Elephas maximus indicus: one gene and its partner. The protein of the gene in region 2 binds, or shares a complex with, the protein of the main gene of each other region. Links are inferred from orthologs where the notes say so. Each region holds a gene or a part of one and is shown on either strand. Other genes may lie near its edges.

Region 1 (7,307 bases), on a different chromosome or scaffold from region 2:
CACACAATTGGTCTCTATTCGCCTGGAGCAGCAGGGGAAGAAGGAGATCCAGAAATCAGTGAAGTAATTGGACTACAGGTCCAGTTGCCTCCGTGAACTACTACTACCTCTTTCCCATGAGACCAGAAAAAATGGGTGGTGCCCAGCTACCATCACTGAACATTTTGATCAAGGATCCAATAAGTGGATCCTAATCAAAAGGAAGACAAGCATGGAAGAGAACTTTTAATTCATATGGAAACCAGATTTACTGAATCCGTTGAGACTGCCCTAAATCTATTGCCTGGAAGTAATCTTTAAACCTTGAACTAAAACTACCCCATGAAGCCATCATTAAACTAAACAACCGCTCAGCTCAGTTAATAAAGAATGATTGCCTTGAGCACTGTCCTCTTATAAAGAAGTATCTGCAAGTGTTCAAGTTGATATGTTGATGTAAAGTACAGATGAGAACTTGGAAGAGGCAGGGAGTCTAAATTAACGGTGATAAAATAATATGGGTAGAGACAGTGAGAACTGTGATACAATGTGAAATATGTAACCAATATCATTGAACTATACATGTAGAAACTGAATGGATATATGTTTGATTGTTATATTGCCACCAAAAAAAGACACAAAGAAACAGCAAGTGGAGGCCATGTGGCTTGAGCACAGTGAACAATAAGATAAGGTTGATGTATCATGGGCCAGATCATGCCAGGTCTTTCAAGCCGTGGCAAGGCCATGGTAAGGACTTTGGATTTTAGTCTAAGTGACATTAGGGGGCTTCTGACAGAAGACTGGCCTGATCTGACTTATGATTTAAGGATGGAGAACAGACTGTAAGGGCAGAGAGTGGAAGCAAGGTTTCCAGTTAGGAGGCCAATGTGCTACCACAGGTGAGAAACAGTGACTTGGAACAAAATGGTGGAGGCAGAGGTAGTGAAAGTGGTTGGATTTGGGATATAATTTGAAGGTGGAGCCAGAGAATTTGATGAAGGACCAGACATGCAGTGTGAGAGAAGAAGAGGAATGAAAGGTGGCCTGAGCGGGTAGTAAAGGAGTTACAGTTCACTGAGAAGGAGAAAACTGGGGATGAGCAAGTAGAGGGAGGGAGAAATTGCGACTTAATTCAAACGTGTTGAGTTTGAGATGTCTATTGGACATCTTCGTGAAGATAATGAGGAAGTAGCAGAATATGTGGGTCTGAAGTTTAAGGGGAAAACAGGGCTGGAAATACACATGTGGGAGTTCTCGGCATATTGCTGTTGTCGTAGGCTGCCGTGGAGTCACCCCCCAACTCATGGCAACTCCGTGCACAGCAGAACTAAACGCTGCCTGGTCCTATACCATCCGCATGATCAGCTGCAGACTGGACCGTTGTGATCCACGGGGTTTCGCTGGCTGCTTTCCGGAAGTAGATCATCAGATCTTTCTTCCTAGTCCATCATGGTCTGGAAGCTTCACTGAAACCTGTTCAGCATCATAGCCACACACAAGACACCACTGACAGATGGGTGGTGGTTGCACACGAGGTGCACTGGCTGGGAACCGAACCCAGGTCTCCCACGTGGGAGGTGAGAATTCCACCACTGAACCACCAAGGCCTTACCAGCACATCCACTGCCTCCACCAGTTGCTGTTGAGTTAACCTGACCCAAGGCGACCCCCTATGTATCAGAGTACAGCTGTGCTCCACAGGGTTTTCAATAGCTGGTCTTTCAGAAGTAGATCGTCAGGCCTTTCTTCTGCAGTGCCTCTGGGTAGACTCAACCTCCAACCTTTTGGTTAGCAGCCAAGGCCATTAACCCCTTGGACCACCCAAGGACTCCTCATCAGCATATAACCAAACCAAAAGCCCACTGCTGTCAAGTAGGTCGACTCACAGGGACCCTACAGGACAGAGGCTGTAAATCGTTACAGAAGCAGATTGCCATATCTTCCGAAGAGTGGCTGGTGGGTTCAAACTGCCAATCTTTAGGTTAGCGGCCGAGCGCTTAACCACTGCACCACCATTCATCACCATATAGATGGTATTTAAAACCATAAGACTGAGTGAGAACACTCAGAGTGAGGGTAGACAGAGAAGAGGTCTCCCTTCACCCTCCCAGGACCCAGTCACCTGCAAGCTGGAGGAGCTCTGGAATGCTGGTGGGTTGGTAGGGGGGACCCCTACCCAGGAACAGAGGTATGGTGCATCTCTGCACATTCCCAAGTTCTGGGATCCAAAAACCTAGGTCTTCTCCAGCCCCTGCTCCCACTTTTTTTTTTTACCTTGGGGGCAGGATGGCATTCAAGATTTCTTCTGCCTGCTTTGTAGGGTCTGGGACACAGGAAGTTGAAGGAACCTTGGTCTTTGGTGGCTGTGGGACTGGACCCGAAGGTCCAGGCTGCTGGGGGCTGACTTTTAGTGGCCGAGCCTGAGAAGAAGTAGCAGGTTAGGGCGCCAGTGAGTTAGGCACTCAGATCCACATGTACCAGCCCCCTGGATTGTGTCTCCTGCTCATTGCTTCCCTACTCCCAGCTCACTTTCACCTTGTCTTAGCAGAAGTCATGTCTCAGAGCTGAAGGAGGCCATGAAAAGCTTCTGGTCCCACCCCAACCAAATGCTTGTGTTCTCCTGAACAACGTTTCTGGCAATGGTGCTCAGTCCTGTTTTCATACCTCTAAAACCAAAACCAAACCTGTTGCTGTGGAGTAGATTCCAACTCATAGCGACCTTACAGGACAGAGAATTGCCCCGTAGAGTTTCCAAGGAGCGCCTAGTGGATTCAAACTGCCGACCTTTTGGTTAGCAGCCATTGCACTTAACCACTGCACCACCAGAATTTCCTTCATACCTCCAGTGATGGGGAAATCACTACTTCATCTCTGCTTGGACCCAGCTACCATGAAAGAGTGAGCTCCATCCACGTCCTTGTGACTTCCTTCCTCACCCTAAATCTGCCCTTTAGGGTCACCCCTAACATCTGGGCTTCTTGTGCCCTCTCCCTTCCTCCCCCCCCATCCCAATCCCCTGTCCCTCCGGTTTCTCAACCCTCAAAGCAGGGACCTGTCCTTCCCCATCGGAGCTTCCCCTTCCATTCTCTTCCCCGCCCACCCCCCCCTGCCCCGCCCCGAGACCCGTCCTTACTTTGGGGCTCCGTTTCTCTGTGTTCCGGCTCACCAACACCGGGGTGTCGTATTTGAGCAGCGAGTCTGCGGGGGGAATCATGGCGGCCGCGGGGGGTAGTAGCCCAGAATTGGCCCTCTTGTCTGGGCCTTGTTTCCCGTCACCATGGAAACCTCCTCGGCCAGCTGCATGTTCTGGGCGGGGCTTCGGGGGGCGGGGCCAGCGGAGCGCCAGTTTTCTTCCCCGCGCAGCGTTCAAGAAAGGCTCTCTTAGCGCTTGGCTTTTTGGGTCTTCTGTTCAGCAGGTCGCTCCGGGTCTCTTGGAAGCAGGAAAAGTGTGGGTTCGAGTCCCTGCGCCGCTCCTTGCTCGCGATTTGAATGGGCATGTCACCTTCGCTGAGCCTCAGTTTTGTCACCTGCAAAATGGAAGTCATTCCTGACTCCTCATTGAAGGGTTGAGGATGATTCCCAAAGGAAAGCCTGTGAAGATTCCTAGTTTTTTATCTAGTTTTTTTAAATTAAACTGAGAAATGACAGTATTGCAGAAAATTCCGGAAATAAAGGAAAAATAGTGATTTGCTCACGGTCAACTACGACTACATTTCCTTTTTTTTCTTCACGTTTCTAAACGTAAATGTAATCAGTTCACGCACAATTTTGTATCCTGCTTTTTTTCGTTTAAACAAGACTGTTTTTTTTTCCCAGTTGCCATATTAAAAAAAAAAAGTTGCCGTGGAGTCATTCCTCTCATGGCGACTAGGCTAGACTCATAGGACAGACTAGAACTGCACCATAGGGTTTCCAAATTGCCGCTGGTGGATTCCAACGTCTCCCTTTTGGTTAGTAGCCGAGTTCTTAACCACTGCACCACCAGGGCTCCATTTGCCATACAGTTTGTAAATAACACTGCTAATGGCGACATAACATGCCATCAGTTGGCTAAACAATTCCATACTGCTGGACATTTAGGTTGTATCTGTGTTTTTAATTACTAATAACGTGGCAACAGCCTTAAGAGTGTAGCTTTTTCCAGCTATTTGTTTTTGAAACTTAAAACTCCCGCCGTCTGAGCCAGTCGCTACGGTTCCGCCCCCTAGAGAGCGGCTGTCACGTGCTCAGGGCCTCCGCCGCGAGGGTTTCTGGGAGAGCACGTAACCCGGAAACGGAAGTCAACGGGTCAAGTACGTCATTTCCTTCAGTGAGCGGAGCTCAACGGACTTGTTCTTTTCCTCAGCCAGGATCGCGGGATGAAGGAGGTGAAAAGCGAGCGGGAACGGGGAAGCAGGCGAAGGCACCGAGACGGGGACATGGTGGCGGCGGCGACGGTGGTGGTGAAGCAGGAGCGCCTCAGCCCGGAAACCGTCCCTCCCGCCCACCGCCGCCCTGACTCTGGCCACAGCCAGTCCTCGCCGGCCGGCGAGCCCAGCCGCCCTAGTCACCGCGGTAACCGAGCCCGCGGAGGCAGCCGGTAAGTGGGGAGCAGCTTGAGGTTGACCTTAGGTCTGTTCATTGAGATAGAAATACGGGCTAGTGTCAGAAACAGACCTTGGGTGCTGGACTCAGCAACTTGAACTTAACCCTGGAAGCGATGGGAGTGACTGCGTTAAAGGTTTACTCCTGCACCTCCGATGGCATAATAGCTGAGCGTTAAGCACGTAGTGGACAGAGCTCCGCCCCTTCATCTCTGTTCCCAACACCTAGCAGAGCATGGCCTAGTAGATAGCGTTGTTTGTTCAATTAAAATGAAAGATTTTTCCCGTCTGGTTGCCAAGCCAGGTATGGGCGTTCTCTTTCCAAAAGGTTTCCCCAAGGAGGATCTAGGAAGTCTAACTGATAGAAACTGAAAAAATACTGCCTTTTGGTAGACTCATTTACTCATTCGTTCAACCTTGTTTAGCACTTACTGTGTGTCATCTTCGTAATTGGCACTATCCGCCCTCTTCCTCAAACCAAAACTGTCTTGGACTGCTGTCTGTCTTGGAAAAAGTACTGCCAGAGTGCTCCTTGGAAGCGAGGATGGCGAGAAATTTGTCTCACATACTTCGGGTATGTTATCAGGAGGAACCAGTCCCTGGAGAAGGACATTATGCTTGGTAAAGTAGAGGGTCCGCAGAAAAAAAGGAAGACCCTCGATGAGGGGCTCAAGCATAGAAATAATTGTGAGGATGGTAGTGTTTTGTTCTTTTGTACATAGGGTCGCTGTGAGTCAGAACCAACTCAGTGACACCTAACAACAACCTGTGCCAAAGAAGGAGCCCTGGTGGGACGGTGGTTAAGAGGTGGGCTGCTAACAGAAAGGCCAGCAGTTTGAACTCACCAGCTGCTCCGTGGGAGAAAGATGTGGCAGCCTGCTTCCGTAAAGATTACAGCCTTGAAAATTCTGTGGGGCGGTTGTGCTCTGTCCTGTAGGGTTGCCACTAGTCAGAATCGACTCTCCAGCAACAGGTTGTTGTTCATGTGCCAAAGACTGTTCTAGCTATTGGGACCACAAGGGTGAACAGGAAGAATGGTCTTTATCCTGATGGAATTGATGTCTTCTAACTGAGGAACAGACGATAACAAGCAAATAAATAAAATAGTTTTAGTTAGTAATAAGTATTAGGGATAGGTTAAAACAGTACAGTAATATGATAGTGAGAGTTTGGGGAAAAGTGGGAGAAGGCTTCTCTGAAGAGATGCCATTTGAGCCCAGACCTGAATGATGAGAATGATCCAGGCAGAAGAAACAATACGTGCAATGATTGTTTTAGACATGGAAAAAAGGCCAGTGATGATGGAGTGTAGTGATCAATAGAGAGGGTGGTAGGAATGTGGCGAGGGAGAGAGGAGATAGAGCCACAGGACTTGCTGATGGATTGAATGTAATTGCGTGTGTATAGTGGTGGTGAGGGGAGGTGTTAGTGGTGAGGGAATAAAGAATGAAGGGTGACTTTTAGGTTTTTGGTTTGTGGAAGAGGCTGGATACTACTAGTTACGAAGATGACAAAGACTGGGAGAGGAAGGTTGGGGGGTTGGGAGTTAAAGAGTTTTGTTACATAATTGATAAAGCTCGGTAGGCCATTACGTATGTTGGTCTGGAACTCAAGGGAGGTGTTATTCCTAGGAAGGTAAAGCCTCTGATGCCTAGTTTCTGTCACAGGTGTGGTGTTTCTGTTGGTAGGCAAGTCCGATACTTGAAGCTAATTTATATGGGGGAAGGGATGTTGAGATAAAATCCTGAGTGTACCATGCTCTGAAAAGGTCCCCAGCCAAAAAGAAAAGCAAGTCCTCAGGGAGAAGAAGCAAGTCTCCACGGGGTAAGAGAAACCGAAGTCCTCACCACTCAACAGTCAAAGTGAAGCAGGTAAGTTGGATCGGGGTGTTTTGGTACTAGGTCCAAATCTTTAGCCTTTTCTCATCATAGTTAAAGTGTATGTTCACCTGCAGCTGCAAAGAGCTTTTCTAAAAACTGGGGGAAAGGAGAATCTTCTTTTTTTTTTAATCTTTTTATTTTGAGATAACCGTAGATCCACATGTATTTGTAAGAAATAATACAGAGAGGTGTACTCTTTACCCTGTTTCCTCCCAGTGTAACATCCTGCAGAAGTATAGTACATTATAGCCAAAATATTGATAAAGCCAAGATAGAGAACATTTCTATCACCACAAAAATCCTTGTGTTACCTTTTGTAGCCACATGTACTTCCCCTCCCTCCTTGCCCCTGAGAAAACCAAACCCATTGCTGGACAGTCGATTCCAACTCATAGCAACCCTGTAGGACAGTAGAACTGCCCCATAGGGTTTCCAAGGAGCACCTGGTGGATTCGAACTGCTGACCTTTTGGTTAGCAGACGTACCTCTTAACCACTTTGCCACCTCTAATTTGTTCTTCATTTCTATAATTTTGTCATTTCAAGAATGGTATATAAATGGAATCATACAGTATATGATATTGTGGCATTGGCTTTTTTAATTCAGCAAAATTCCCTGGAGATTCCAGGTGTTAACGTCTGTCAGTGGTTCATTCCTTTTTATTGCTAAGCAGTATTCTGTTTTGGATTTATCACAGTTTAACCAGTGTTTGATTATTATGAATAAAGTTACTATACCCACATTCGGATACAGGAGTGTAATTGCTGGGTCATATGGTACTTGTATGTTTAATTTTTTAAGAAGCCGCCAGATGTTTCTAGAATGGCTGTACCATTTAACAGCATATGAGTAATCCTGTTTC
Region 2 (7,813 bases):
GGTATCTCTGCTTTCAGCCAGGATCCATCTGACATCAGCAATAATATCCCTGGTTCCACGTCCTCTTCTGAATGTCTGGCAGTTCCCTGTCGACATAGTGTTGCACCGTTTTTGAATGATCTTCTGTAAAATATTGCTTGCATGTGATACTGATGATATTGTTATGTAATTTCCACATTCAGTTAGGTCACCTTTCTTGGGAATAGGCATAAATATGGATCTCTTCCAGTTAGCTGGCCAGGAAGCTGTCTTCCATGTTTCTTGGCATAGACGAGCGAGCACCTCCAGCACTGCATCCATTTCTTGAAACATCTCAACTGATATTCCGTCAATTCCTGGAGCCTTGTTTTTCGCCAATGCCTTCAGAGCAGCCTGGACTTCTTCCTTCAGTACCATCAGTTCCTGATCATACGCTGCCTCTTGAAATGGTTGAACGTCGACTAATTCTTTTTGGTATAACTCTGTATATTCCTTCCATCTTCTTTTGATGCCTCCTGCGTCGTTTAATATTCTTCCCATAGAATCCTTCACTATTGCAACTCGAGGTTTGAATTTTTACCTCAGTTCTTTCAGCTTGAGAAACACCAAGCGTGTTCTTCCCTTTTGGTTTTCTATCTCCAGCTCTTCGCACATGTCATTATAATACTTTGTCTTCTCGAGTCACGCTTTGAAATCTTCTGTTCAGTTCTTTTGCTTCATCAATTCTTCCTTTTACTTTAGCTGCTCAATGTTCGTAAGTTTCAGAGGGTTCTCTGACATCCATCTTGGTCTTTTCTTTCTTTCCTGTCATTGTATGAAATATATACCTCAGAAGGAGGAAAAAAAAGAGAGTCTATGGGGAGAAAAAAAGAGCCTGCACTTCAGTTGTGGTGATTGGAATGAAAGAGAAGGTATTGTGGAGAGGGCAAATAGAGAGTTATTCCTTTCTATCAGAGCCCAGGAGTCAAATAAATTCAAATTATTTTCTGATGAAAATTTCACTACCTGAAATCTTTCTACTTACTATTCATAATTTAGAATCAAGGAGATCCAGATAACATGGTTTCCTTCAGTATCCAAACTCACACTATCTGAACTCAAAAACCAAACAGAATTGGACAGTAGAGATACTTCTGTGAAGAATAATTGGCAAAATCTAGTGATTTCTCAAACGTAAGGATTATCAGGGAGAGGAAGAAGTCAGGGACAAGACTCCCAGGTTTTTGGTTAGAGTGACTGTAAGGATATGAACGATAGTGTCACCGACTTAGGCACAGGATTAAAGCCAAATGAAAACACAAGCTAGTCAGTGAAACATCATTTCCTCCAGGCAAAACACATTTTCCAGCAAGAAATTTTGTTTCTATATTCTACCGAAGTCACAGAATGGGTTTCAGTACATTAACATCATCCGCTACTGTTGAGTTGATTTTGATTCATAGTGACCCTATAGGACACCGTAAAACTGCCCCACAGGGTTTCTAAGGCTATAAATCTGTACAGAAACAGACTGCCACATCTTTCTCCAACAGAGCGGCTGGTGGGTTTGAACCACTGACCTTCTGGTTTCACTACAGCCATTAAAAATTACAAGAAAATTCTGTCGCAACACGAAATGCCTTTAAACAGGACAAACTGAATCCAAAGAATATTACATAAAACCTAACTGTAAATAGATATAGACTGGAAGGTATTCAGAAATTGCAAAAATATTCTTTAAATTTGAGCCGTTTTTCTCCAAAGCTACATTCCATATAAATATGGACTACAAATTAACCATGCATGCGATCTACAGAAACACTGAGAATTTTATATTATTTCATGCATAGCAGAAAGTATCTACTTGTCTGTCTTTACCACTCCAACAAGGTGGAGATGTTTTTTTTTTTTTTTTAATGGTTCTATTACCAGCGCACAGAATAACAGGTGAACAATAGTAAGAATTTCGTTGACATTAACAATCCTTGACTCAACAGAACAACAACAAAAAAACTAACTAAATATAACCGCTCACTTAGTAGAAGCCTCTACCCCTTTGTTTCGAGATCAGTTAAAAGGAAAAATAGCCAAACCATATGTATTTACAGGTAGTATGGAATGAAGTACTCAAACCGGTAAACAAGTCTTCAGTAGGCACAGCTAACGGACAAAGTATAAAGTCAAAGAAGAGAAAAAATGGAAGTAAAACTTATTATCTGTGTAATTAGCCACAAATACGAATATTGGGAGATTTTCCTAAAAGTCTACCTTATAGAAAATGTAGGTTGAACAATATCTTAAGCTATATCAAAAAAGCTACACATATATATATTTAAAATATTTTAGAAGTACACTTCAATATTTCCAGATAAAGCCATGCTGCTTCTAAGTACTCATTTAAACCGACGATAACAATTTGATCACGAAAAACGCATTCATTTAAAGAACTTCTCACGGAAGGCATACAATTTTTCTCGATGGCTCCCGCCTCCTTAGGGCACATGGACCTACTCATAGTAGCCTGTTCTCAGGAGTTGAGACGGGCCAGAAAAGTAACCTAGACTAGAGCACGAGTTCCCCCTCGAAAAGAAAATCGGTATCGGTAACTAGGCGAAAGAGCTCGTAAACCCGGGAAAGCACCGTGAAAGACTTTAAGACATTAAGTGGGAAGAAACGTCCCCGCCTTTGCGTCCACCTTTTGGAAGAGCAGATCGATCCCTCGCGACCCAGTCTGAAGCCCGGCCCGCAGCACCGCCCGCGCGGCCAAGACCCGGACGGGAGCGGCTGGCGCCGGAGGCCGTTACCAGGCCGCGCGCGCGCACGCGGCTTTCGCGCCTCCTGCAGCTGGGGAAGCCAGTCTCCCAACTCCGGCCCAAACCCTCCCTTCACAACCCGCACGCCGCTTCGTAGCCTTCTCACCTCACGAGCTTCATCCTAGCGGCGCCGTCACTCTTTCGGCCCGATAGCGCACAAGACCAGAGAACAGAGTCCCGACCGAACGGGGGTATGAATGGCCGGAAACTCCTACTCCCGGGGCTCCGGACGTAAAGAGCGCGCGGAGCCCTGCGAACGCACGGCGGAAACGTAGAGGTTGAGCTGATCCGGCTCTCTTCCGGCCGTGAGGAGCACGACTGCACCCCCTGGTGCCTGGAGGTGTGCCTTGCGACTGCTGAGGGCGGCTAGGGCTGGTCTGGGAGGAAATTTCCAGCAAGAGGAAAATTTGGGGAGATCAAATCCAGTTCGGAGGCCTGTCGCCATCACGTTTTCTCGCGGCAAGGCACCGTGCATTACACCCCTCCGAATATCCCCCCGAATAAAGGGAAGTTCTAAGAGAAGCCCAAAAGATTATTCTAACTCTAGATCGACAGAGCACCCAGAACCTACCTCACCATTGCCTAACCTACCTGAAGAAAATCTCCCAATTTAACTTATTATTTGCATTTAAGTTCTGATCATAAACCTCAGATGGGCACCTTACATTGCCCAGAAAGACTGTTACTCTTTTCTAGTAAGCTCACCAACTCTTTCATACCTTCTGTCCCCCTCAAACTTTCTACAGTCTCACTACCAAATCTTTCTACTAATATTTCACACGTTCAGAAAACAGATGCCATCCTTTTGCCTTCTCTCCTTTTACAAGGCTAAAAGTAATGTCGCTCCTTTCAAAGACAAACTCCTTTTCTTAGTAGTTTGGATCCCATCTCTCAATTTCTCAAGAATTTCGTTCCTTCAGTTATTTCTCTCTAACTCTACTCTTTCTCCTATTTTACTGATTTTTTTCCCATCAGCATTCAAATTTACCTTAAAAACAAAGCCAAGTTCTCTCTGCTTCAGCCCTAGCTACTGCCCCATTTTTTAACAGGAAAACTTCTTGAATGAGCTATCTCTACTTGTTTCATCACTTCTAGGTCACTTTGCAAACTACTTCACTGACGTTGCTTTTCAAAGGGGATCAGAAACCTCCAAGACAAACTTTTCTATCTTTGTGGTACTCAGCATCTCATCAGTGTTCAACATAAGCACTTCCTTTTGAAACACTCCTTTCTCAACGTACCCTAAACGGTAATCTTTGTATGAATACTTTCTCCTGTAGGTAGGTAATCTCCTCCAAACCATGGCTTTAATTTGTATCTCCAGCATGAACTTAATCCCTGATCACCAGAATTCTAGGATGTTATGACGCAACAATATTCATCAAACTTTAATGTTCATAGGACTCATTGGGGAAAATTTTAAAATGAAAGTTTTCGTTCGGTTGTTGTGTTGGGACTTGCCTTAGTACTATGAGAATAAAGAGTCTCAGGACGGAGAGTTAATAAACAGACAAAAACCCATGGTGATAGTAATGAGCTGCTGGATCAAGCTGTGCCTGAGTGTGGAATTTAAATTAAAATGAAGTTAGATTAAAAATTCAGCTCTTCAGTTGCAATAGCCACATTTCAAGTGTTCAATAGCTATATGTGGCTGTGGCTACTCTTTTGGACAAAAAAGATATGGAGCATTTCTTTCATTGCAGAAAGTTTTGTTGGACACTGCTGCTCTATTTATTACCATATTTGTTTCCTTCTTAGCATTTATTTGATAACTTATTTACTGTCTGACACAAGAGTGTCAACTGTGAAAGGGCATTTGTATTTGTTCTGTTCACTGTAGCATCCTTAGCACTTAGAATAGTGCCTTGCACATAATGTGCCCTCAATCAATATTTGTGAAATAATGGCTTGTCTTTTCCATTAGAATGTATGCTCCTCCAAGAAGAGACCTTGTGTGTGTTGTTGATTGCAGCATCCCTAGTGCTGAGCCAAACCAAACCAAACCAGTTGTTGTCGAGGTGATTCTGACTCATAGCGACCCTGCAGGACAGAGTAGAACTTCCCCATGGAATTTCCAAGGCTGAAATCTTTATGGTAGCAGACTGCTACACCTTTCTCCCTGGGTACTTACTGGTATTGTCCTCAAGCGCTTCCTAATTTGGGCTTTGACTACCTCTTAATCCATTTCCTCTCAATAGCATTAGAATATTTGAGTTATTGGAACTCATCAAGCTCATTTTCCTCTCCAGATTTTGTACATGCATTTTTTTTGATCTGGCTAATACCTACTCATCTCCTGTCAAGTAAGTGGGGAATTATTTCTTGTATCTAATAGTGGTGGGGCTTCCAGAGGAGGGCAAATTGAAATGGCATTGTCAGTTGGTTTATACCAAATTGCTATAATTTTTTAATTTATTTTATTTTTTGTTGTTGAGAACATACACATCTGTGCACACACCAATTCAACAATTTCTACGTGTACAATTCAGTGACACTGATTACATTCTTCAAGTTGCACAACCATTTTTGCCCTCATTTTCTGAATTGTTCTTCTTCATTAACATAAACCCATTGCCCCATAAGTTTCCTGTAAATTGCTATACTTTTTGTTTTTGTTTTCTAGCTTGAAATGTTAGAATTTTTACTCTTATAAGTACAAAACTGTCAAAAGAGTACTGAAATAAAATTCACAAAAGTGGAGCAACAAAGATAAAGCCTTTATTTGCTGCTAGCAGGATGGTCAGTTTGAAAATGAGACTGCCCTGTCTTCTGGAAATTAGCAGAGGTTTTACATATGTTACAGGCATTTAGATTAGTCACAAGAAACAAGGAAATGAGAATGTGGTATGTGGGGCAAGACAACTATTGCATTACCAGTTTTTAGAAGTAGATGCCCTAATTAACGATAAGCGAGTCCAGAAAAGTACAATCGGCAATTCTGAGCCAGCAAGGAAAATGGACAATTTAAACAAGCCCCCCGCCTGAAAAAACAACAACAAAAATCACATGCATAAGACCTGTTGCCTTCGAGCTGATTCTGACTCAGCGACCCTATAGGACAGAGTAGAACTGCCTCATAGGGTTTCCAAGGAGCACTGCTTGCCTTTTGGTTAGCAGCCAAGCTCTTAACCACTGCACCGCCAGGGCTCCAAACAAGTCCAAGAAAGTACGTTTACTGTTTTGAATTTAGGAACAGAGCTTAGGGCAGAAGCTTGCAAATCTTGGTGTACATGTTGTGAAAAAAAACCCTTCACCATTTAGATAACCATCTAAGTTCTGTATATCTAAGCACAGTGTTTGTTTCTAGCATGGGCACATGGCAAAAGCTGAACCAATCACAGCTCTCCCCTAGGACTTTCTCTGGAGCTCACAGGCATAAGGACCTCTCTCTTTACTGGAATCAGTTTGCTGTGAGCTCAACATAGTCTTTGCCATGTTGTTGGGAGAGCTTGGTTGAGAATGAAGCCAGTACAGATGAAAGAAGAGCTGAGAGTTGGAGAGACATTGTCCTGTTGACATCACCTGAACCTCAGGTTTCAGGATGTCCTGAGGTCAGCGGTTCCCCTGCAGTTTGTACTTACAGTAGCAATAAATTTCTTTTTTTCCTCTATATTAGTTCGAGGTGGTTTTCAGTTATTTTTGAACTAAGAGAGACCCAGCTAACATTTTCTTTGGATTACCAAACACTTCTTCCTTTAAGTTGAATATTTTCTTATAGTTGTCTGAGAAACTATCTCTTGCTAGTCCCAGGCCCCTTCTGAACCCAAAACTTGTATTTCTATATTTCAATTGTGACCTACATTCCTCCATCAGTTCAGTTCAATGCTAGGCTTCTCATTGATCATCATTTGCAAAAACCCAAATTCTTTACTATTTCTTAGAAAAAACTGAAAACTCAGTCAGGGGAGAAATTTATTTGGCTGATCATGATTATTTTGTAGTGCACAACTAAATTAAATGCACCAAATTCCAAAGCTCATAGATTGTTTTAAAAGAGAACCACTGATAGAAGGCAAAACAAATTTTGCCAATATGATATTTCAGAATAATTGAGTTAATCAAACTACAAATTGAGAGCTAATGAATCAGAAGTGAAAATATACTTCAAAATGATAAAGAATAATGTCTAAGAAAGCTTATTTTCCCATAAAAGTGAATGACTTTATACTTTCATAGCATGTTTAAGAAATAATTTTTGAAAAGAAAATCTAGAATAAATTAGAAATGAATTATACATTAAATATGATTTACTTCTGTACCAAAAATCAGTACATCTACTTTCATGTGGTCTGACATTTGTAAAATTATACTCCTAATTGTGACCAATACAACAAATACAGTGAAATAGATCACTTAGAAGCAGAGGCCTGTTTTGTGGGAATGGAAGCTTGTACTATAATTTTATGTGTGTATGCCAGAATTTTTTTTTTTTTAATGCCAGAATTCGAGTTAGTAAAGTTACTAGAAGTAACTAATTAGTCCCTGTGTGGCACAAAATAAGAGCTTGACTACTAGCCGAAACGTTGGTGAAGACAGGCCTGGCGATCTGCTCCCAAAGGGTCAAACAAACAAAAAATCCTACCAAATCCATTGCCATCAAGTCCATTCTGACTCATAGCGACCTCATGTGTGCAAAGTAGAACTGCACCACAGAATTTCAAGGCTGTGACATTCCAGAAGCAGATTGTCAGGACTTACTTCTGAGATGCCTCCAGGTGGCCTCACACTGTCAAACTTTTGATTACTAGTTGAACACTTAACCATTTGTACCACCCAGGGTCTGAAAGGTCACAGCTTGAAAATTCTGTGGAGCAGTTCTACTTTGCACACATGAAGTCTCTATGAGTTGGAATCAATTCCACAGTAGCAACAACAAAGATAAAGTGGCTTACACAACTAAAAGAAATCATATCACTTTTCTGACACTCTAACCCATTGCCCTTGGGCCATTCAGACTCATAATGAGACTATAGGACAGAACAGAGCTGTCCCACACGGTTTCCAGGGAGCAGCTAGTGGATTTGAACCGCTGACCTTTTGGT

What was found. Proteins that work in one complex are often made in the same cells at the same time.
Region 1: SNRPD1 (region 2) and SNIP1 share a complex: the UniProt entries of both Homo sapiens proteins name them as parts of the minor spliceosome. The link is inferred for Elephas maximus indicus from reciprocal best matches to the Homo sapiens genes SNRPD1 and SNIP1.

The regions. Positions count from the first base shown.
Region 1 is NC_064821.1:79,129,386-79,136,692, reverse strand, and holds the start of SNIP1 (smad nuclear-interacting protein 1), read left to right. Parts: upstream 1-4,291; 5' UTR 4,292-4,340; coding exon 4,341-4,561; intron 4,562-6,333; coding exon 6,334-6,436; intron 6,437-7,307. Other genes in the region: DNALI1 (axonemal dynein light intermediate polypeptide 1), read right to left, coding at 2,257-2,402, 3,116-3,196. UniProt on the Homo sapiens protein: Required for pre-mRNA splicing as component of the spliceosome. As a component of the minor spliceosome, involved in the splicing of U12-type introns in pre-mRNAs. Down-regulates NF-kappa-B signaling by competing with RELA for CREBBP/EP300 binding.
Region 2 is NC_064829.1:27,455,873-27,463,685, reverse strand, and holds the start of SNRPD1 (small nuclear ribonucleoprotein Sm D1), read right to left. Parts: upstream 3,036-7,813; 5' UTR 2,892-3,035; coding exon 2,878-2,891; intron 1-2,877. UniProt on the Homo sapiens protein: Plays a role in pre-mRNA splicing as a core component of the spliceosomal U1, U2, U4 and U5 small nuclear ribonucleoproteins (snRNPs), the building blocks of the spliceosome.